Linked DNA regions of Xenopus tropicalis. The protein of the gene in region 3 purifies or fractionates together with the protein of the main gene of each other region. This does not show direct contact. Links are inferred from orthologs where the notes say so. Each region holds a gene or a part of one and is shown on either strand. Other genes may lie near its edges.

Region 1 (5,061 bases), on a different chromosome or scaffold from region 3:
GAACTACACGTTACAAATGTATCTTACCAGAAATTAGCCACAGAAACGTGGTTTGTAGGCTTTATCATGCTTCATGATTGAGGACACCACTAGAACATGGCTATACTATAAAGGCATTTCATGAGACATATGCCTTTGACTAACATCTTCTTCTGATTCACTGCATACTTCAGCTCAAAATGATGATTAATTTGTCAGACCCATATTGACTGCCATGCTTGAGAACCAAACTTCAAGCAACCCCAACCCTTAACACACACATATACATACAGCATCATAAAATATTATTCAATATTGCACCAGCAAAAAAAATGTAAGCAGTTCAAAAGGTGCTTCTACCAGTTGGGTTGCCGAATAGTTTACCACTAAGGTCCTACTTCAGAATTAAAATGGGTTTCACATTTAAGGAGCCTTTACTATGATATTATTCCACAAATAGACATAGGGAAAATATTAATATAATATAGGAGATTTCGCAATAATTTCTAATAGTCCCACACAAATAATGCTGTTGTTGGAATGTTATAAGGATCTGGTGGGAAAGATGACCCTATAGTTACATTTGGTTCTTTTAAAACATGATCCTTATGGAATTAAGTAGTTTTTCATTTTTATAATTAATTGTCATCTTAGTTAATCACTGTAGTATCTGGGATTTGACATCCCCTATTGAATGTCTGGGCCATTCAGAAAGGATTGACTAGGCTTGTTGCGGAATAATAGTGCTGCTTTTAAGAAGGCATATGATCAAGCAATTCAATTACATAAGCATAATTTTCTTAACCAGAAAAAGAGAAGGGGCAAGGAAAAATGCTAGTCATCTTGAGAAAACATCCAGGTGTCTTTCTCCAGAATTCATTCTAAAAAGTTCCTAACAGTCAAGCTATTGTTTAAGTTATTTATAAAATCATTGTAAGAAATCTCTCATCTCATAGAAGGCTGACACTAGTCGTAAAACAACATTGCTCACATCAAATATTTCACTTTTTGGGTGAATTGAAAACACATATGTTGTCTTAGACATACATTCTAAAAAAATATTGTATGAGTCATTTAAGACTGTAAAATTTGTATGAGCTACTTAAATATCAAAGCGATTTTCCCTCGCCATATAAAAGTTCATCAAAAAAGTTTGTTAAATCTCATTTGAGAGAATTTAGTACCACCTCCACTCTTAAAATGTGCCTTCTGGTAATACATCAAGATTGATTAGATCTCTAAATCATCAGGTCGAGGTCTGCTACTTGCATGACTGCTTGCTCTACTAGATGGTCTTTGGTCCAATATAGTCAGGGGCTGCATCTCATGTCCTGGTGCCATTTTCTTAGTATTCTGATGTTCATCCGAAAAATCAAAAGGCTGTGCATGAGTGTTAGAAATTGTGCTTCCAGCCTGCCCCATCCTGTTTTGTTCTGCACTGTAATTGGCCCAGTTTTGTTCACTTGCTTGCTTGTTATAATTGCGACAAGAAGAAGGATTTCTTTCTCCAGTAACAAGTTTGTAACCAGGTGGAGACATGGGAGCAGTTGGAGAAGAACAGCCATTAAAATAAGCATATTTAGGGGAGCCACATTCCTTTCCTGGAACCACAGAATCATTTGTGGCAGAATATGGGTCTTTTTTCCCCTTGATGCCATCTTTGATACTTTTGTAGGTGACATAGAACAGCTCGATGATATTTAGGGCAAGAGAAACTATAGAAACTATTAACATGAACCAGATAAAAATGGTCTTCTCTGTGGGTCGAGAAAGGAAACAGTCCACTTGATGTGGGCAAGGATCTCTTTTGCATGTGTAGATGGCACTTAAGCTAAACCCATACATGTACCATTGAATGAAAATAAAGCCAACTTCAAAGACTGATTTAAACAAAATGCTGATGATGTAAGTGCGAAGAAGTCCACCTCGCATCTTAACTTTTCCATGCTCTTCAAGGCCATATTTGAATTTCTTTATTTCAATTTGTTTAAGGTGCATGTCTACATTACCACCTTCATTCTGAACCATTTTAAGTTCTTCTTCTTTCCTGTTTAGCTTCTCTTCTTTTCTCATCAAGTAAAACACATGGGCTAAATAAAGGAGGGTAGGCGTTGAGACAAATATGATTTGAAGTACCCAGAAACGCACATGAGAGATCGGGAATGACTTATCATAGCAAACATTTTCACAACCTGGTTGTTGAGTATTGCAGACAAATGCTGATTGTTCATCTCCCCAGGCTGACTCCACTGCTGTCCCTAATAAAAGGATTCGAAATATAAATAGGACAGACAGCCACACCTTCCCTCCTGCAGTCGAATAGGCTTGAACTTTGTCAAGAAGTCTTCCTAAGGCACTCCAGTCACCCATGCTCAAAAGTGGTTACCTAAAATCCCAAAAAAGTACACATCAGTATTATAAATAAAAGTAATATCATTAGAGAGTAACTGTGGAACAACTTCTTACATTGCAAGCTACTGAATGATTGAATGTTCTTAATATTTTTAGGCAATATTTAGGCAATGTTCATTACACTCTAAGCAAGTAATTGAGTAAAAGTTATGGTGTTTTGTGAAAAATGACCATATATATAGTTACATTGGGTTGAAAAAACACCATCAAGAGTTTATCAAGTTCAACCCTTCCAAGTAAACCCCAGCACACATAAACCTATACTTACCTATCTATATACTCACATACATAAACCATATATACCAACACCAATTTAGTATCACAATAGCCTTGGATACTATGCTTATTCAAGAACTCATCCAGGCCCCTCTTAAAGGCATTAACAGAATCTGCCATTACAACATCACTAGGAAGGGCATTCCACTACCTCACTTGAACAAACCACCTACCCTGCTTTAAATGGAAGCTCCGTTCCTCTAAAGGGGTGGCCTCTGGTGTGCTGGTTGTTTTTGTGGGAAAAAAAGAACATTCCCTATCTGCCTATAATCTCCTCTAATATACTTGTACAGAGTACCATAAAGTTATAATTCCTATTTTTTATATCATAATACTTTTACCACAGAAGGAACTCATAGATATGAAGAATGCATGAAAAATGCAAAATATAGAGATTGTTATTTATTTTTTTGTTCGAGTAATGAAAGAATGTAAGAGAGAAATATATACATAGCATTAAAAGTTATGAAAAGAAAAAATAAATTGAAAAAGAAGAGTTGCAAAGAGGAGTGGCAGAGATGAACATGGTATAAAAATGGACATACAAAGAAGGAAGTAAAAGCATAAAAAGAAAGGTGTTGAGGTACTGCAAAGAAAGAAGATCATTTATATTTTACAAGACTTTATTTTGTGTGGTTCTGGCACTTAACGATGATATAAAGCCTTAAGGCCAAAATCTTAAAGATCAACCATCTTGTTGTTATCTTACATTTTGGCTTTCCTATGTTACACTGTATGCAAACGTAATGTCGGAAGATATATTTATTTACTGAAAACTGTGTTTAAGCTTTTCAATTTCAAATAGAAACAAGGAAGCTTATAATACACAGGTCACAACCCTAATTTTGCTCAGCTACATCTCCCAGCATGCTTTAACCCTTAACAATATGGTAAAGTATGCTGGGTTCAGTTCAGCAACCACTGACTAAAGTATAGTTGAGCAACAATGTTTTGTTCACCTTTAAAATGAGATGCAAACAGTGTTGCTCACCCAAACTTAACTTAAATTTTGGTAGACTATAACCCCAGTATACTTTAACAAATTATTAAAGGTTAAAGCATGCAGTTCAGCAACATAAGCAATGCTGTTAAAAATGTTGCCTTCTCTGGAGGCAGTGCCCTACTATATGCAATGCTGCACCCTCTTTTCTAACCTTCAACCTACTGACATTTGATAGTATAGTATAATATAGGCAAAGTAAAATCTCACAATAAACTCCCTGTTTTAGAAAACAACAATGTTAATTAGGTAGTGCTATTAAGCAGGGCTCTTATTTATTGCATAATACTTTGGCTTCTGCCATTCAGTTTGGATACCAGTGTTGGAAAGCTTTGGGAATCAATGGAAGAGTTTCTGAAGGTTGTATACGTTATTTAAGTGTACAACCTTCAGTGTATAACCAAGTGTTTACCCTAGGCCAGTGTCGGACTGGCCCCCCAGGATACCAGGAAAACTCCCGGTGGGCCCAGGTGTCAGTGGGCCCTCCTGCTCACCCTACCATTTGCCTTGTATCCCTATACCATGGCCATTACTCAATTCTATATGAGAAGAAACTAAAGAAATGGGGGAAAGGATAGATAATAGTATGTAAAAAGAAGTAATTAAGAGATTAAAGAAAGTGAATATACAGAGAAGGGGAGAGTGGGCCTAAGGTCTAAGGTTTTCTGGTGGGCCCTTGGCACCCCAGTCCGACACTGCCCTAGGCCTGCTACTCTTATGTAGTGCAATCATAAACTTATTAGTTTAATTTATGATTGACTTTTATGTAACAACAATATTGTTATTATATTATGCAAATCTCTTCTTTGGAAAGTTTTTCAAATTATCCAAAAAGTGTTTTAATACATTATTAACATCAGTTAAAGGAATTGCTAAGAACGTGCTTGCTCATTTGTGCACTTGCAAGAGTTAGAGGAAAACTATACCCCAGAATGAATACTTAACCAACAGATAGTTTATATTATGTTAAGTAATGGGCTGTGTGCTTTCTCAGGGATCACATGACAGGAAATAATGCAGCTCTAACTGTAACAGGAACAGGAAGAAGTGTTTAAGCAGAAGGCAGAACTCTGTCCATTAATTGGATGATGTGACCTAGCATGTATGTGTGCCTTGGCTTGTTTGTGTGCACTGTGAATCCTATGATCCCAGGGGTCATCCCTTAATTCTTAAAATGGCAATTTTCTATTTAGAAAGTAGTAGTAAGTAAGTATATTGGAATGGTTTATTTAGATGAAGCAGGGTTACATATGAGTTTCTTTATGCAATATATATTTATAGGGACTTGTTTTGGGGTATAGTTTTCCTTTAAATTTGTGGGAGTGGTTCCAGTGAGATGCTGATCTGCTAATAACAACAACTTTCCCTTATATACAGTGAGGTCCTGTCAGAGA
Region 2 (5,727 bases), on a different chromosome or scaffold from region 3:
TGGCTGCTGAGCCACCAGAGTAGAATGCGACATACTGCACTGGAACATGCACTGATTGTTGTGCAACTTTTACTGCAGATGTTCTGCAACTCCAGCAGTCCTTGCAGTGCCCCACTCAGTCTGACTTGAAACATCCCAGAGAGGATGAATAAGGGTACAAACCCAATGGCATCTGGGGCCACAGTACCTTACAGCCCAGCATGGCATGATGTATCCCATTTAGCCATATACTCTGCGCATGAAGGGATGGAAAATAAAGGAGACTGCAGGAAAATTGAGGCTTGGCATGTTAATGTGCTACGCACAAAAACACATTTGTTTGGCAACTGAGTGGGACGCACAAAAATAACAAAGTATAGCTTTTCTGCAGGGTTATTAAACCCAACACCCTCTTAGCTCTAGTTATAATGGTAGGCTATTTACTGCACATCCCTTCTGCACTGCATGCGGTTTATCCTGCAGAGGCTTCCCAATGGCTGCAGATGCTGCATTTAATAATGCAACAGGTTTGGGCTGCACTTGTGACTACTAATATTGAATCAAGAAGACCCATATATTAAACCCATTAATATACTAAGCAATTAGATCAAGCATAAGCAGTCTGCAGCCCTCTAGATGTTGCTTCACTACAACCCTCAGAGTCTTCTGCTGGTGGGATCCTGGGAGATGTAGTTCATCAACATTTGGGGGGCATGGGTTGTCCATGACTAACTTAGATCATGTAAAAGACACTTGTCAGTTGCACCAGAAAGTTTTGCAAACAAATATAAGGCTAAGGACTGACAGAGGTGCTCGCATGGTATACATTCTATATACAGTAGCATGGGTCTGTATATGTAACTTGTGTCTTAATAGAAATGCAAAATATTGCCATAAAATAATTAAAAAAAAAAAATCATAATTTTTAACCACGATTGAAGAAAATTTCAGTGCTACATCATCATGTAGTAGATATTCCAACAAAATGACTCCTTAAAAAAAGTGCATTTTTTTTTATGTTCCAAAGTTGGCAGCAATATAGAAATACCTTCTAAAATAAGTCAAAAATTAAAAAATATATATCTATAATTAAAACAGCAATATGGAAGAGTTTTCGATAAGTTAACAGGAAGGCTGCTCTGCGTATATGTGATCTCACATGGGATAAAATCAACATTCTGCCATGTATTTTCCTGGAAAGAAAAACAAAACAAAAAATGCTTAATTACTTTTTACACAACATTCCTACAGTGCAGTCCAATGCATTCCACTATAGAGTGAGCCATACTTTCATGTTGCTGTGCTTTTCAACTATAGATACTTCAGTAAATGATATCCTTATAAACAGTGCTTAGTGATGTCATCAGTTTTGGTGCATAGTGAGGTCACATGACTCACTGAAATGTGTGTAGAGGTACTTGAGGGAAGTGTCACCTCAAAGTTCCATGGCCTGCACAGACTACTACTATTAGAGAGTAACTAAGACACTAAATTTCAGATGTGGAATATGTTATTAAATAAATTAAGCAGAGGACTTCCGGAGGGCGGGGCAATACAAGAGGAATTCAACCACTGAGCCACAGATCAACATTGTACAGACACTACTAGGCCGCACCTATCCAGGACCCACACAGCCCATTCACTTCTGGCCAACAGCTAACACCAGCACATTTTATATTCAGGGACCACACAGTAGAAACTTGATTCCTTGGCAGTAGCCCTTTCTGGAATTAAGGAGTCTGACCTGTCCAGCAAACAGTGACAAGCTTGCTGCTTCTCCACCCCACCCCTGGATCAGCAATATGGAAGACAGAGTTATCCAACTCCAAAGCACAGTACAGAACATGATAGAACAATCTCCACCCAATCAGAGAAAATAGACAATCTAGAAAACAGGGGACGTTGTAGCAATCATTGCTTTATTGGCATCCCAGAATCAAAGTACCAGATTTTCTTCAACTATTATCTAACAAGATCCCTAACACACTGCAATTACAACCAAGTGAACAACAATGACATACACCTGTCCTAGCAAAGTTTCTCAACTTTCAAGATAACTCAACTCTCACCCTACAGAAAAGCTAGGAAACTAACAGTGGACATCCATGATCACCTCATTTTAAAAGGTTTCTCCACATCTCTAGCCCAAAAGTCTTTTTCAATTAGCTTTTCTGCAGATAGGTCAACTCCCTCACCTAACCTCCTACTCCCCTGCCCCCAGAGCTTGGATACTATAAAACTCTAGCATTCATCAACTCCCTAACTAACCTCCTACTCCCCTGTCCCCAGAGCTTGGATACTATAAAACTCTAGCATTCATCAACTCCCTACCACCTATCTAAGACTTTTCCCCCACCCCCTCGTCCCCTTGAAATTCTTGAAAATACCTGGAGACATAGGACTCTAGCCTTCGTCTCAGTCTAACAGTTCCAGGAAAAGTTGAAAATAAGTTCTTATTTCATTTGAGTGTTAAACAAAACTACACGGAACTACATAAATGTTCCCTATTTCTTCCAGGACCTAAGCTCTCTCTACCACATTTCCCACAGAATGCAACTCGCCAACTGGGCCCGCTGAGACAAGGAAATCCAAGGAACACTTCACACACACTCCATCACTTTCCCAACAGGTATAGGATGACCACCCAAACATCTGGCATTTCATTTGCCCCACCACAGCATACCAGAGGAATCATAACATAACCCTTTTCTCAACACAGCTTGGAAAACTTGGAAACAATCTAGAGTAAAAATGGGCCTATAAACAGCTAGGAAAAAATAGTAGCTAGCTTTTGTGGCTAAATGGAGGCAAATCCCAGGACTGTACCAACATTTAGACAAAAGCCTTTCCAGAATAGTAGAGGCTGTTATAGCAGAAAGGGGAAAACTAACTTAATATTAATACCCTTGGTTTGGGAATGAGAAGTTGGACAGGCAGGTGTCCTGATACTCTGGCTCATACATTATAAGTACCATGGTCTCATAACACTGCGCACCATAGTTAGCCAAAATAGCAAGTTTTATATAATTGCCTATCATCCCTGTACAGACACTTATCTATAAACACACACTGTAGCATGTTATCCTGGGCATTCCTCTGTACACAGCACAAATCAACGTTCTTTTTTTGTAAACATTTTCCTTTTAAAACATAAGAACGTGCCCTTACCTGTGCCAAACCTCTTTTTGACTAAAGACAGGCGATATCCCGTCCCTACCAGCTCGATATCAACTCCAGAAAGCGTGCATCCGTCACTAACAAACTGCACTGCAAGTGTGCTCGGGTTACTAGGACCATCAGAGAGGTCAAATTTTGCCCTAAGAGATCCAGCTCCTATAAGAGAGAAAATCAAATAATGAATTAAATCCACGAATGCTTAAGCATTTACTTAAAAGTATAGCTACTTGGAATGCTGCGTATATGGCCAATGACCAAAAATGATAAATACAGAACATATTCACAAAGGAATAAGCAAGCTATGTTTTATATCCACAGGCATTGAATTAAACCACTGTAAACGGTCCCTTCTGTTTTCTATGTGTTTCTCTAAGGGGCACTTGAATATATAACAAAAACTGTTTAAACAACCCCCTTGCTGTGTAATTTTCTGTACTGTTGTTCAATCAAGGTGCTTGTGTATCTTCCGAGCACTCTAATAAATCATGTTTCCCAGTACACTGCCTGCTGGAGACTCTGTATGATCAGGCACAGGCTTTAAAGCTAATTTTAGCCAGAAAAATATTTCAGAACTTGCCTCCATTTTCAGATTTTTCTGAAATTACAGAGACTTTCCATAAGGCCTTCATTTGTTCTGCATTCCTAGATAAAAACAAAGAGCAGCATATGAACCTTCATAACATCTGAACACAGCAAATTTATTAATATGGTATTTAACATTGATGTCTCGATCTAAAGAATAAGTGGGTTCTAACACACAATATAAGGGCTTATTAGACATAGTACAGGTATTGGATCTGTTATTTAGAAAGTTCCAAATTACAGGCATAGCCTCCATTTTGATCAAATAATTTAAATTTTTAAAAATATTTATACTTTTTTCTCTGTAATAATAACATAGTGCCTTGTACTTGATCCCAACAAATATATAATTCATCCTTATTGGAGGTAGAACAATCCTATTATGGTTAAATAATGTTTTAATGATTTTTAGTAGACTCCCCTTATACCTGTACTACCTTGTATGTTTGCGTCAAGACCTATAAAACCTTTTATATAAATGGGTTGTAGCAGTGGGAGCAGCCCATCAGGGTCCTGTAGAGCTGTGGGTCCCACTTTGCACAGCAGGTCACAATAGCCCGCACTTCCTATAAAGATGTATGGGGAATCTCTCTTCCAGGGCCAGGCAGAGTGTACAAAGGGCACCCAAGGTGACGCCTCAACAGCGCTCAGCAATCGGGGAGGGGTGACAAGGTGAGGGAGAGGGGTCTGACATCACTGCACTGTTATAAAACTGCCGCTTGTGGCCACTGCTCCTTCGGTCGGCTGCCTCTAGGGCTACCAGTGTTGCACCTAAGGCACGTCTGCCTACCCCTAGTCCTGGCCCTGTTCTTTTCCTATAGAAGATGCTGAAGAATGCATTTTTGCATGCTTCACAGTCCAATATAATAAATGTATGTACATAGAGTTGTCACAGTAACCTGTGGCCCTCAAGATGTTGCTAAAGCTGCAGCTACAACTCACAGCATCCCATCAACAACCAGAAGTTTCATTTTTAGAATCAGGCAGCGGAGTTTAAGCCCTGTTTTGTGGATCACAATTAGATCAGGCCCCCATTCTCTCATAACAAGGTTATACAGAGCTCTATGTATATTTAGGACAGTAAATAAGCATTAACCTCGGACCTTTCCTCAGGTAGCCAAAGGCCAGCCCTTTATTCTGGGAACCTAAGATTTTAGAAGAGATGAATGTGTCTCTCACCATATGGCAGAAGGCAGTGACTGCATGCTTGTTACTCCGCCATCAACCGGAACCAACACCTGCACATTAGACAAGATGCTGGGCATAGCCATGGATTCTGGGTTGTACTTGTAGTCTAACCTGACATCGGTAGTGCTCGAGGTACATTTCCAATAGGTGGCAAGGTTCAAAGGAGTGGACTGGATTCCATTTGATAAAACCTAAGAGTTGATATATGTTAAACATTAGCATTTGATAAAAAATCAAGGAAACCCTCTCACTGTCAGGCAAGTCACCCTAATTAACATGCAGTACAGAACATCAATTCAGTAAAATGGCACCTTTGTTTTTAATTGATCTGTAAGCATACAGATGTTTTTTTTCCATTAGAAAGTAATGCTTTTACACAAAACCTTTTGCTAGGACATTGCACAGTCAAAGCAGAAAGAAATTTAGAAAGCTCTCTGCCTAGAAAGCATTTAAAGATTGCCTATCTCCATGATGTGTTGCCTGTGCTCTCAGGCAAATTTCTTCAATATTTAATAATGCAACTGTCAATCGGCAGGGTCAGAATTTCTCAGATGGTTAAAGTGGACCCACGCCTACTGTCTGCCCTCTCCTTTTATCCTTCTACTTATCACTCTCTATATTGCCACTTTGGTTTTCCTTCCACCCCATTCAATATTTGTGACCTGTTCCTTTAGGGCTCTGGTACACGGGGAGATTAGTCGCCCGCGGCAAAACTCCCTGCTCGCGGGCGACTAATCTCCCCGAGTTGCCTTCCCTCTGCCATCCCACCGGCGAACATGTAAGTCGCCGGCGGGATGGCAG
Region 3 (6,358 bases):
AACTATACCTTCCTATATATATATATATATATACACAGCTTGGGTCTAATGCTGCCCTAGACACTGCACTTCTGACACCTCCCCCCTTAGGGCAATAGCAATTGGGAAATTTAGTAATTCACAGTTAAATCTCAGCTAAAGCAGGTAACAAATCTCCCCAAAAAGTCTTCCCAACAAGTGAATCGCAGGTGGGAAAGCATATGCTGCATTTCATTTTCTCAGGTCGCCAAATGATTCCTATGCAGGAAACTTTGGAAAACTAAGAACTACATACACCTTTCCACCCATGATTTAGTTTATTACTGGTGGGAAGGCATTTTGGGGAGATTAGTCGCCCATGGTAGTCAAAATTTAACTGTGGACGACTAATCTCCCCCTTTGCCATTGCCTTTAACAACAAGTGCCCAGTGGAAAGCTGTTTTTTAAAAAATAATATTGGTGCCCAAGATCCAGCGGCGTAACAAGCCCTCAGAGGGGTCCAGCACACAGTTTTTCAGTGCTTTATCCCACCCCCCATCCCTCTTTGTCCATATTCCCCTTCTGCAGCTGGGGAGGGTGATTTTTTAAACGTTTTTTAAATTTACCTCCAAACTATAGAGGAGAAGGTCTGCTAGTGCCAGAATCTGTTCCCTAAAGATGCTGCCCTAGTCCTGGGCCCTCAGGTGCCTTAATAGAAACTACAACCATGCCCACATTATCATAGATTATCATATATAAATAGGATTTAAAAGTGCAGCGATCACTTGGCATTTATATTTTAATGCTGTGCCAACCAATATGTTAGGGAACAGATGCTTTAAAGTGGTTGTTAGCCTTTGAGTTAACTTTTAGTATTATGTAAAGAGTAATAATCTGAGACAATTTGCAATTGGTCTTATTTGTGGTTTTGTAATTATTTTACTTTTTTGCTCAGCAACTCTCCAGTTTGGAATTTCAGAAGTTATCTGGTTGCTAGGGTCCAAATTACTTTAACAACCAGGAATTGGTTTGAATGAGAAACTGATATATTTATAGAAGAAGACCTAAACATAATATAAAGCAACAATAACAATAAAAGCCTTGCAGAGCAATTGTTGTTTGGCTTGAAGTTGGAAAGAGTCAAAAGAAGGCAAATAATTTCAAAACTATAAAAAAAAAAATAATTAGGACCAATGGAAAAGTTGCTTAGAATTGCATTCTATGAAATTAAAAGTTAACAGGGTTTTGGGAGATAGCTGTCAGTACAAGTTGATCCAGGGACTGGTCCGGAAGGAACTTTTTCCCCCTCTGCAGCAAATTAGAGAGGCTTCAGATGGGGTTTTTTGCCTTCCCCTGGATCACCTAGCAGTTAGGCAAGTTATCAGGGGCGGGCCGAGCCGACCGGGCGCCCTAGGCAACCCGGTTGGCTACGTCGCCCCTGCACCGCTACTTTGCAAACCCTCCCCGTGTGTTTTGACACGCATGCGCAGTTTGTGCGCGGGGGGCGCGGTGTGCGATTTGAAATGGCACGATGCAACCTAGGGGTAGGCAGGCGAGGCTGCTGCCTGGCACCCCCCAATCGTTGCGCCCTAGGCAGCTGCCTCTTCTGCCTACCCCTAGTTCCAGCCCTGCAAGTTATACATAGGCATTATGGTTGAATCTGATAGACGTACGTCTTTTTTCAACCTAAGTAACAATGTTCCTATTTACCTTGTGAATGTGTCAACATTTCTATTGTCCTAAACATGGTTTTTGGTTATTTCGGCCACATATTGTGGTGTGCAATGTCAGATCTGCCATTGCCCAGGTCTCTGAGGCTTTACAGTGAGGGTAAGTATCCCAGGTTTTTCTACGTCCCAAACAGGTACCTCGCAATATAACTGCCACCACACCTTGCAAGGAAAAGTATAGAAACACACCAATACTTTTTCTAAATAAAGTATATTATATTCTATAAGCGCCCCCTAACAGCCCGGCTGGAAAAAAACACATTTTGACATTTCCTTACAGTTCCCAACTTCCCAGCCGTCCCGTGACCCCATTCTCCTTACACTTCCAGCGCTCCACCTCCCACTGGTTCATCCCATTAGCACTCAGGCTCTCCCATATTTACTTGCAGCAGCTCCTTCCACTAGCTCTCACACAGTCCCCTCCTCATAGTGGCTCCACCCATTAGCTCTTACACAGTCCCCTCCTCATGGTGGCCCCACCCACTAGCTCTCACACAGTCCCCTCCTCATAGTGGCCCCACCCACTAGCCCTCACACAGTCCCCTCCTCATAGTGGCCCCACCCACTAGCTCTCACACAGTCCCCTCCTCATAGTGGCCCCACCCACTATCTCACACACTCTCCCTCCCCTCTTTCTGTGCATGATGGGCGGATCGGGTCGGAAGCAGCATGGCGGCCTCACTGCCCCGGACACAGGTAACACTTTACTCAGGGCAAAGTTGCGTTGTTCTGTGGGCAACAGTGTACCGGGGCCCACTGGGAGTGTACCGGGAGCAGTGTTTGCTGTACCCGACCAGTTCTTGTTGCGGTGACACACTCGGAGAAGGAGTTTGAAACTATCATAGCCATTCGAGTTCAGTATGACAGAGTATGTGGGCGACACTAACTTGTATGGATTTCACAATTATTGCTGAACTGCAGCTTTTACACTCTCAACACAAGCTTCAGAAAGTAGTGTATAATGAGGAAGTTGGTACGACACTTTAGCAAGTCGCTGGGTCGTATGCTATGGTTTTCGGTATACTCGGTTGGTGTGTCTGTTGTGTTGCTTTGGAAACAGAGAAAGTTGCTTTTTCATGGTATAAATGTTGCGGATACCCATGAAGATGGACGTGAGCTGCGCAATATTTAGTTTCAGTCTTTGCAGTCAGTGGGAGAAGTAGCAGATGACTGTCAGGCAGTGGGGAATCATCAGACTGATCCAGTGGGCGAACTTGTTGAGTGATACATGGGGATTCACAATTTGTCGCTTGCTACATATATGTAAGTTTTATACCCGTTTCATGACATGCAGCCCACCAGTTTACCAGTTAAACCTCTTATTGCACAATTCAGCAACATAACATGGGCGTGTATGGGAATATTTGTAAAACTACATGGAAATCAAAACCTTTTGTAAATGGGACATAATTTCTCTTTAAAGGTCTCTGACATTTCAAATAATTCACTGGGCTTCCTGGATAAAATGCATGTGAATGTCGCAGTACTTGTGGTTCTGCTTTGTGTCTATAAAGATATGACTGTGCACATTTTGGCAACAATTTTTGAGAGGAATATAGGGTGGTTGGGGTGAAGAAAAAGAATGTTAAACTTTACATGCAGGCTTAAAGCTGCTGAACTGCATACCTCCCAACATGTGAATAATCAAAAAAGGAACATAAGGACCTGCAGCAGGGAAACTTTTGTCCACAGGCACTTTGTGGCTACGCCCTCAAAATACTACGCCTATTTAACAAAACATCGCTTTTTACATGGTTGGAATGGCAGTATTGCAAGTAAAGAAGCAATAGGTGTACTAGTGTTTTATGCAGGGACATTGCAGCCCTACATCATCATTCCAGCTGGGTGCAGTCGTTTAAGCCCTTTATACAATGTGAATAATGATTTCGCAGTCTTGTTTTTCAAGACTTGAAATTTGATTTGTGAGGGACTGCACTGGACCAAAAAATGACAACTGTCCCGCAAAAAGGTATCTATCTAATAGGTAACTATTGGGATTATATTATCAAATAGTGCTCATTTATAAACACTTGGCAAATTTGCCCCAAGCAACCAGTCAGTGAGACTCCTTTATCAACACTGGGCAAATTTGACCATGGGCAGTAACCCATAGCAACCATTCAGTGATTGGCTTTATTTAGCCAGCTGCAGGTAGAACAATGGTTGCTCATGGGCAAATGTGTCTACTGTCTATATTTTTTTCAGCTAGCTGCAGGTAGAACAATGAAAGCAAGCATGTGATTGGTTGACACGCATGGGGTTACTCCCCATATGCAATTTTCCCGGTTTTTAGAAATGCCCCCACTAACTTTGTCCTGTTGCAATAACAACAATAGCAACAAATTAGCAGGTAGCATTTACTGGTCACCTTTTTACATCTTATTGCTTGCTATGGATTACAGGTATGGGATCCATTATGCAGAAATGGATCCCAGATCCATTTCTCAGATTTTTAAAATTGATTTCCTTTTTCTTTGTAATAATAAAACAGTACTAAAAATTACATTACACGGGAGCACTTACCGCAAGCCCAAGTGTGCTGTCACGCAGACCCACTCCCAAAGGTCCAAAAGCCAAGCAAAAATAGAAAGATAATAAATAGCGGAGCACCACGAGGATAAGATTAAAATCCAGTCTTTATTCCATCATAGATAAAAGGCACATGCACATCCCTCAGGGTCTAACGCTTTAAGCGTTAGACCCTGAGGGATGTGCATGTGCCTTTTATCTATGATGGAATAAAGACTGGATTTTAATCTTATCCCCCTGGTGCTCCGCTATTTATTATCTTAATAATAAAACAGTACCTTGTATTTGATCCCAACTAAGATTTAATCAATCATTATTGGATGCAAAACAATTCTATTGGGTTTATTAATGTTTTACTGATTTTTTTAGTAGACTTAAGGTATGGAGATCCAAAATACAGAAAGACCCCATTTCTGGAATACCCTTGGTCCCGGGCATTCTGGATAATGGGTCCTATACCTGTACTGGAAAAACTTAGTTGCTCTCATTACAATGGGGGTTTAAATCTTAGAATGTAATTATACACCAAGGCTGTTATAAAGATTACAACTAAATGACAAGTAAACCCCTAAACCGGGGGTGGCCAATGTGTCAATCGTGGTCCACCAGTAGATCCCCTGTGGATTTCTGGTTACAAGTGCTGCGCAAATGCGTACGTACACTGAGTCACGTACGTATGCATTCATGTCGCATTCTGCAGGACAGCGGTCCTCAACCTGTGGGTCGTGACCCCTTTGGGTGTCGAACGACCCTTTCACAGGGGTCGCCTAAGACCATCGGAAAGCACATATTTCTAATGGTCTTAGGAATAATTTTATGGTTGGGGGTCACCACAACATGAGGAACTGTATTAAAGGGTTGTGGCATTAGGAAGGTTGATAACCACTGCCCTAGGAGCAAGTTGACCTTAGGAAACCATATGTTATTAAAATGTGCCCAAAATGCACCTACACATTTTTATGGCTGACATTTTTACTTCTGCATACACAACACACTGCCAGAGATGTATTTGTAGTAAGAAGCCCATTAACAGTAAATTGGGCCAAAAATCAATATAGCTTTTCAAAGTACACATTCTGAAAAGAAATGCTATCTGTCTCTCTACTCTACATCCAAACTTAAAGCTTTGTTTACGTTAACGTTAATATATATATATATATATATATATATATATATATAATAAATATTATAGACTGTCATATAAAGCAGGGCACACTCACAGGACTTAAAGGTATGTTGAAAATTTTTTTGTTATTCCAACGTTACGGTCTTCCTTGAGACCTTAGTCAAGGAAATCCTCCAAAGCTTATACCCTGGAAAATGGCTCCAAAAAGTGCATATGTAACATAAACTTATCCCTTACTAGCTCTTAAATGCATTGGCAAAATATTCTACATGTGACATTTGACTTTTGAAACAAACCCTGCCTTCAGTTCATCTAGCCGTAAGGTAACCCCATGTAAAGCAAGGATTGTGAAACTGTACATATTTTGCTAAATTACAGCACCTCCTACTACTAGTTCTTGCGAACAATGATGACATGCTCTAACAATAAATATATCTGATATCTCCTTTGTATAACGTTACTACAAACTTTACTACAAACTGATAAGGTATCAAAAGATATGTGTCTTTAGTGACCGTAAAGCATAAATCCAGAATAGTGCAGTATGCAATAAAATCACTCGTCACACTGGACACTGATAAACATTATAAATAAAAAGTGTATATGGGTGTATACATGTTGAATTGTGGATTTTTTGGGTGTAGAGTACTAAATAGCCCACCCATCCCCCCAAAAAGTGTGTCAGCATTAAAGTGTAGCATGGAAGGTCATCATGTTGGTAGGGGGCAGTGCTGTGGGGCTCATTATGCAGAGACAACAGCAAATAAGTAATTTTCACATACATGAATGTGTTTTAGGGCCCATGGGGTGGGTCTATCTATTTTAAAAGAGACATGCCTAAATGTGGGTACATAAGGAACTGTAGTTAGTAGGAAGATACATGGCATTCTGAGTGTATGCTACATTAATTTAGCAAACTATTCCTAATGATTTTTATTGCCACTGAGGATATCTGGTATGAAAGTCATTTGACAAGCAGTAAGACTCTTTTGGGCTGTTAGTTGTTCGAATAGTA
Region 4 (5,727 bases), on a different chromosome or scaffold from region 3:
ACTAAACTAGAATACTGCACAGAAAATGTATTAAAATTGCAAGGACTAACGTTGCCCTTAAATTATAGGAAGGCCATATAACTCAGCAGGTTACAGCATGTGTCAGTATACCTTACTACTGTCCATGACCACCTCAACTCTCCCTTGTAAGAGCTTTCCAGTGGAGAACAATGGTTTACTTAAAGTGCTGCCTAGAAAGCATTGCTATTCATATAAACGAGTTGCTAAAAGGAAGGTATCTGTTCTGCAGGTAAAAAGATGAGGCATTAAACTGTACAGAGCTATTTGCAATTCTTTGAACTGAAAAAAATATAAACTCCCTGAGGTTCATTTAGTTATATTATAACGTAGTTGGAGCAGAGTTAAAGTAAACTTTAACTCAAAAAATGTTCATTCTTTGTATTTGTAAGTAACCGCACAGCGCATGAGAAAGCTGTAATCTACACCCAATTGGCAGTTATAAGGTTGTTTTGCTATTTTGTTGTATCCCAGGTTGGGCAAACCTTCATTCCCTCCTCCGTTCCAGCAACATTTGCTCCGTCCCCTACACCAGCGGTGGTTAGCAGTGGACTGAATGATTTGTTTGAACTGTCTTCTGGTATTGGGATGGCGCCTGGAGGATATGTATCACAAAAAGCTGTATGTTGGTTCTATACATTTATTTCTGTAGACTGTTACTGAGCAGTATTGTTATTGGCTGTATAGCAAATAAACATGCAATCTAACTAGATGAAGCTGCCCAGTTGTATTCCCTCTCTGCCTCAGTACATTTCTCATTCCAGAAACCTGTTTTCCAATGCCTACCAATCTTTCCCAGTCCCCAGCTGATCACACTCCTATTTACTTTTGTTCCTCCTTATACTTTGCTACAGTCTTAGCTGTCAGACCAGAATAGTTAAGGCTAATGCCAAAAGGGCCTGATTCTCAACCTGTGGAAAAACACAGGCCTAGAATCAGCCCCTACACTGGCATCAATTTTTCCCTGTGCCTCCACCGGGAAGCCGACATTATGTTTATCCACAGGCCAAGAATTGGCCCTGTGTGGCATTAGCCTTAGATATAAACATAAAGTGGCGGTGGTGGTAAAACCAGTAAAATTCTGCATTTGGTTTATAATCTGCTTTGAAAAAAGTTTTTTTATAAATAAGCCCACACTTTCATAGAATATAACAAGAAAATTCTTTATGACAAAATTATTTTGGTACTGTCATTATGCTTTCTGTAAAACACTGGGAATCTTCAGATGTACTGAAGCACATAAAAGCAGGTTGTATTGTATATTTGCAAATTCACAGGCCTACACTTATTTCAAAGCAGTCTGAGCTAATTTAAAGTGCATTTAACTACCTTCTGAGTGCAGATCTATGTTGTATGGCTGTGTATTTTTGGAAGAAATAAATTCTAATTATATTTATTGAATTGCAGTTAATGCATTTACAGCTATTGGTACACACTGCTGGTAAATGTATGAGGGTTTATGAACTTGTGATGTAAATAATACCTCTTAAAACTCATGGTTCCCTGGAATTTTTCTCCCAGGTCTGGTTACCTGCTGTAAAAGCCAAAGGCTTGGAGATCTCTGGTACATTCTCCCACAGGCAAGCACACATCTACATGGATATGAGTTTCACCAACAAAGCTTTGCAGCACATGACTGACTTTGCAATACAGTTTAATAAGAACAGGTAAGACACTTAGAATTTTTTATTATCTGTTATGTATATAGGGCTACCATGTTTATGCAGTGCTTTACACGGATTGTTTGTCATTCATATCTGTCCCTGCCCCTGTGTATAAGCTTATAGCCTACGGTCCCTCATCACATTCACCCACAAAGATTAGCTTCTAGATCAGTCCACTGGGTTCTTCAGAATTGCAGTCATTTTTCATATTTTATTACTTTATCTTTCTGGGCTCTTTGTTTCCTTGTGTCCAATTCTATATGCCCCATGGCATATAAATAAAATATAATACAGATATAATGTTAATATTTAACAATATTGTTAGAAAAGGACAAACATATGAGAAATCCACCCAATGGTAACTGATCATTCTTACTAATGCTTCTTCCCATGAAATATTCACATTTAAATAACATTTAGCATAAATGAACTGTTCTGTAGATCTCTGATCTGTGAGCCAGTTTTGAAGTATTTATAAAACACTGATATTTAACACAAAATTGTACAGTTCTGAAGGGGCATTTCAGTACATGCAAACTAGGAACAAATATTGACTAATATAAAGGGTAAAGAAGACCCACAAAGATTGTGGGAAAGAGGACAGACAAACATTTGCATGTTCTGTTTAGTTGAGACTGGACCACTGCTTTTCTTGCCTACCTTAATAGGTGTTGTGATAGATTCATTTTCTTAATGTAATGTCAACTGAAGGTTGCTGTATGCGTGGACCCTGGACAGTTGGATTATGAAGCACACATTATGTCATCTAATTGGCTGATTTACATTCTCTGTGTAGTGCACTGCTTTTCACAGTCTAGCCACTTTTATCCCATGCTTTGGTACTTGTACTACATGGAAGCAGTTGGATTTTGGCTGTATAGCCACTGTAGGGCAGAGTGGTGAGAACCACTTGCTTTCCCTAGTGCTTTATTTACTGCAGGTTCTGAGCTGTTTTCTGTAGCATGCCGACTTCTCAGCACATTTTGGTACAGTAGTTGGCTTAAAGGAGAAGGATTTTACTGCCAATAGATTCACCATATTAGTGCCACCTAGAACACTATTTATTCTGCAGAAAGCATTACCATACCTGAGTAAAGAGCCTTATGGGATGAGGAATCAGGAGAGGGGCGAGAGAAGAGAACGGCGCTGACTCTAAAGTCAGATACCAGAAGAACATATTTACAAAAAAGGAGACAAGAAATACTGTGTTTCTTTTGATAGAGGACTATCTGTATTTACATAGACATTTCTGTTAAAGCTTAATTAGTTTTAACCTTTCCTTCTCCTCTAAGGAATGTTACCCTAATAATTATTTCATGGCATTTGGACTGTTCAGAAGTGTCTAATTTCTTTCTATTTTCCCTTAGCTTTGGTGTCATTCCCAGTGCCCCTCTGGCGATTCATACTCCCCTCATGCCCAACCAAAGTATTGACATTTCTCTTCCTCTAAACACCCTTGGGCCTGTTATGAAAATGGAGCCCCTTAACAATCTCCAGGTAATATATATCTCTTTTTTTACATTACAGTAGTGGTTGTGATCATGAAGTTAATTAGTAGGGGCTGAAGATCTTTATTACCATTCATAACATAAACAGTGTGTGCGTGCATGTATGCAAATGTTTGTGGATAGATGATATTTAACTTGGGATTTAAATAGCTTCTGTAGAATTAATAAAAGTTTTTCATGGAAACCCAGGACCAGGACGAATCATGATTTTTAAAACAATGGAGTTGCCACTTTAAATTGCCGCAACAAAAACCTTTAAGACCATGGATTTTATCACCTATGTAGTGGCATCCAACATTTTTGCATACCAGCCAACACTTTGCTCATAAGCTTGATTGTATTGAAGTTATGATGGGGGGACATGTCATAAAAATCATGTTTCGGTTGTCAGACAACCCTGACCTACATTACTGCCCAACAACAACCTTGGTAGAGCCAGATAGCAGTAGACACAACAATAAAGAACTGTAATATGTGTATAAAGCCGAGGCTGACATTAATTGAAGCAAATTTACTGAATATCCATTTAGAAATCTATGTATTCTCATAGATCCACTTGCTTACTCTATTGATTTTTACTGAGGCATCTACAGAAATCAAGTACCCATGACAGACCTGCAACTCTATTATTGCTTTTTATTTATATTATAGCTTTTACAGTTTGAGACAAAATTTGTATTCGTTGTTTTTTTGGGATTTGATTTTGCAGCCTAGATTGTATGCCTTTTTTTAAACCTACATTTTATGTATATCTTTCGAAATTCATAAGCTACTGGGGGGTCCTTTATAAACATTGGGCATATTTGCACCTAGGCATTAACCCATGACAACCAATCAGATGATTTTTTTCAGTGTTTAACCTGTAGCTGGCTATAAAAACATAATAACTGATAGGTTGCTATGGGTTACTGCTGAGGTGCAGATTTGCCTAGTGTCCATACATGTAGTGGTGCTCCTTCTGCTTATAGATGAAATGTATAACTCCAGTCAACTAATAAAGAGCACTTTATTGGTGCTGAGATCTTTATAAATAAGACCCACTGTCTGTCTAAGGTGAAATTAGAATAATCACACATCACTTATTCTGGCTAATTATGCTTTAAAAAGAAAGCAAAGATGCTACTGGTGTATAATCTAGGTCTGCAGCTACATACTGTTATTAGTAACTTAGACCTGAGGTGTTTAATTTACAGTTTATTAGATAAGGAGTGGGGGCACAACACTGTCTCCTTGACCTCTAACACTTCTGTAAAAGTATCCCCAAATAAAGAAGTATTATAGGGAAGATGTTTTTTTAAAGAAGATGACATTTATTTACATGGATATTGATTAATGCATGTTGAATGCATGTTACTTTTGGAGCACTGCTGTACTGTACATGGGTGTGGAATAAAACAGAACCATAGCACACTTTCATATAACTCAGTGGATAGGAGATGTGTCATTGAAGCTGCCACTTGATGTACTATAATTCAGTTAGATGTAGCTAGAAAATTGACTTGGCTAAGGCCATACTGAGGCAGTGTCCTGTCTCTTGGGTATTAGCTGGCTGTCAGGGTTTCTTTTATTTATGAGTACTCTGGGGAGCACATCAAAAGCTGCTTTCTAAGTATAGTTTGGATGGAGTTAGCAGTGTATTCAGAGTAAATGCTAAATCAAGCAAGCTTCAGGACATTTCTTATCTAAACACATATATGTACACGTGACCCCAGAAGGTTATGTAATGTTTATATTTATTAGCCAATAGTTGTATCATAGTGCAAACATATGATGCGTCAAAAAGAACCTACACACAATACATTTGGATTCTAGCACACACAAAAATACTCAACTGTAATTAAAAAGCCATCCACTTATTTATAAAACTGTAGACAGTTGTTGGTTTTGTGCATGTAGCTGAGAAGGTGAATTCTAAAAGACTGAAAGGCTGCTTTGAACGTGTTAATGGCTGTTGTGAAGCCTGTACATTAGGTTAGGGATTGCTGTGAACCTGCCATAATTCTTACGTTTCACACTACTCTTTTGTGTATTCTAGGTGGCTGTGAAAAATAACATCGACGTGTTCTACTTCAGTTGTCTTATCCCTCTACATGTGCTCTTTGTGGAGGATGGCAAAATGGGTAAGGAAAGATCTGATATGTAAGGTTTAAAGGGACTTCTTCTGTAGGGTGCACATCAGTTTGCAATATTGTAAATTTATCATCGTTTGTTTGGTATTGCATCAATTTCTATTATATTGTACAGCCTATTGTAATGGAGCGTGGTATATTCTGCTCAACTGTAATGATTGTGTTAGTGTCCTCACTAGCTGCTACCTTCTCTACCAAGGACTTGATTGGAGTTTAAAACTCAACAGAGGAGCTATAAAAAGGTATGGCAGCAGCGCTTAGAGATTATAGCCAAGATTTATTGGATTGTATCCTGTGCTGAAGGACATCTTAAAGTTCAACAGCTAGAAAAAGCTGTAAAATGTCCCTAGTAGTAATTTATCCTAATGGATTCCTAGTGTAACAATGCCAGTGGTTAAATCATGACTT

The links.
Region 1: the proteins of eps15 (region 3) and gja1 purify together in Homo sapiens (affinity purification with western blotting; 3 studies listed by BioGRID). This does not show direct contact. The link is inferred for Xenopus tropicalis from reciprocal best matches to the Homo sapiens genes EPS15 and GJA1.
Region 2: the proteins of eps15 (region 3) and fcho2 purify together in Homo sapiens (affinity purification with mass spectrometry; 3 studies listed by BioGRID and IntAct, with this or other methods). This does not show direct contact. The link is inferred for Xenopus tropicalis from reciprocal best matches to the Homo sapiens genes EPS15 and FCHO2.
Region 4: the proteins of eps15 (region 3) and ap2b1 purify together in Homo sapiens (affinity purification with mass spectrometry; 3 studies listed by BioGRID and IntAct, with this or other methods). This does not show direct contact. The link is inferred for Xenopus tropicalis from reciprocal best matches to the Homo sapiens genes EPS15 and AP2B1.

Annotation. Positions count from the first base shown.
Region 1 is NC_030681.2:72,393,885-72,398,945, forward strand, and holds gja1 (gap junction alpha-1 protein), read right to left. Parts: upstream 2,350-5,061; coding exon 1,210-2,349; downstream 1-1,209. UniProt on the Homo sapiens protein: Gap junction protein that acts as a regulator of bladder capacity. A gap junction consists of a cluster of closely packed pairs of transmembrane channels, the connexons, through which materials of low MW diffuse from one cell to a neighboring cell.
Region 2 is NC_030677.2:183,066,577-183,072,303, reverse strand, and holds part of fcho2 (F-BAR domain only protein 2), read right to left. Parts: intron 5,118-5,727; coding exon 4,918-5,117; intron 3,799-4,917; coding exon 3,734-3,798; intron 3,313-3,733; coding exon 3,148-3,312; intron 1,173-3,147; coding exon 1,150-1,172; 3' UTR 1-1,149. UniProt on the Homo sapiens protein: Functions in an early step of clathrin-mediated endocytosis. Has both a membrane binding/bending activity and the ability to recruit proteins essential to the formation of functional clathrin-coated pits.
Region 3 is NC_030680.2:96,318,545-96,324,902, reverse strand, and holds the start of eps15 (epidermal growth factor receptor substrate 15), read left to right. Parts: upstream 1-2,251; 5' UTR 2,252-2,357; coding exon 2,358-2,384; intron 2,385-6,358. UniProt on the Homo sapiens protein: Involved in cell growth regulation. May be involved in the regulation of mitogenic signals and control of cell proliferation. Involved in the internalization of ligand-inducible receptors of the receptor tyrosine kinase (RTK) type, in particular EGFR.
Region 4 is NC_030678.2:93,556,772-93,562,498, forward strand, and holds part of ap2b1 (AP-2 complex subunit beta), read left to right. Parts: intron 1-492; coding exon 493-639; intron 640-1,539; coding exon 1,540-1,685; intron 1,686-3,049; coding exon 3,050-3,179; intron 3,180-5,225; coding exon 5,226-5,310; intron 5,311-5,727. UniProt on the Homo sapiens protein: Component of the adaptor protein complex 2 (AP-2). Adaptor protein complexes function in protein transport via transport vesicles in different membrane traffic pathways.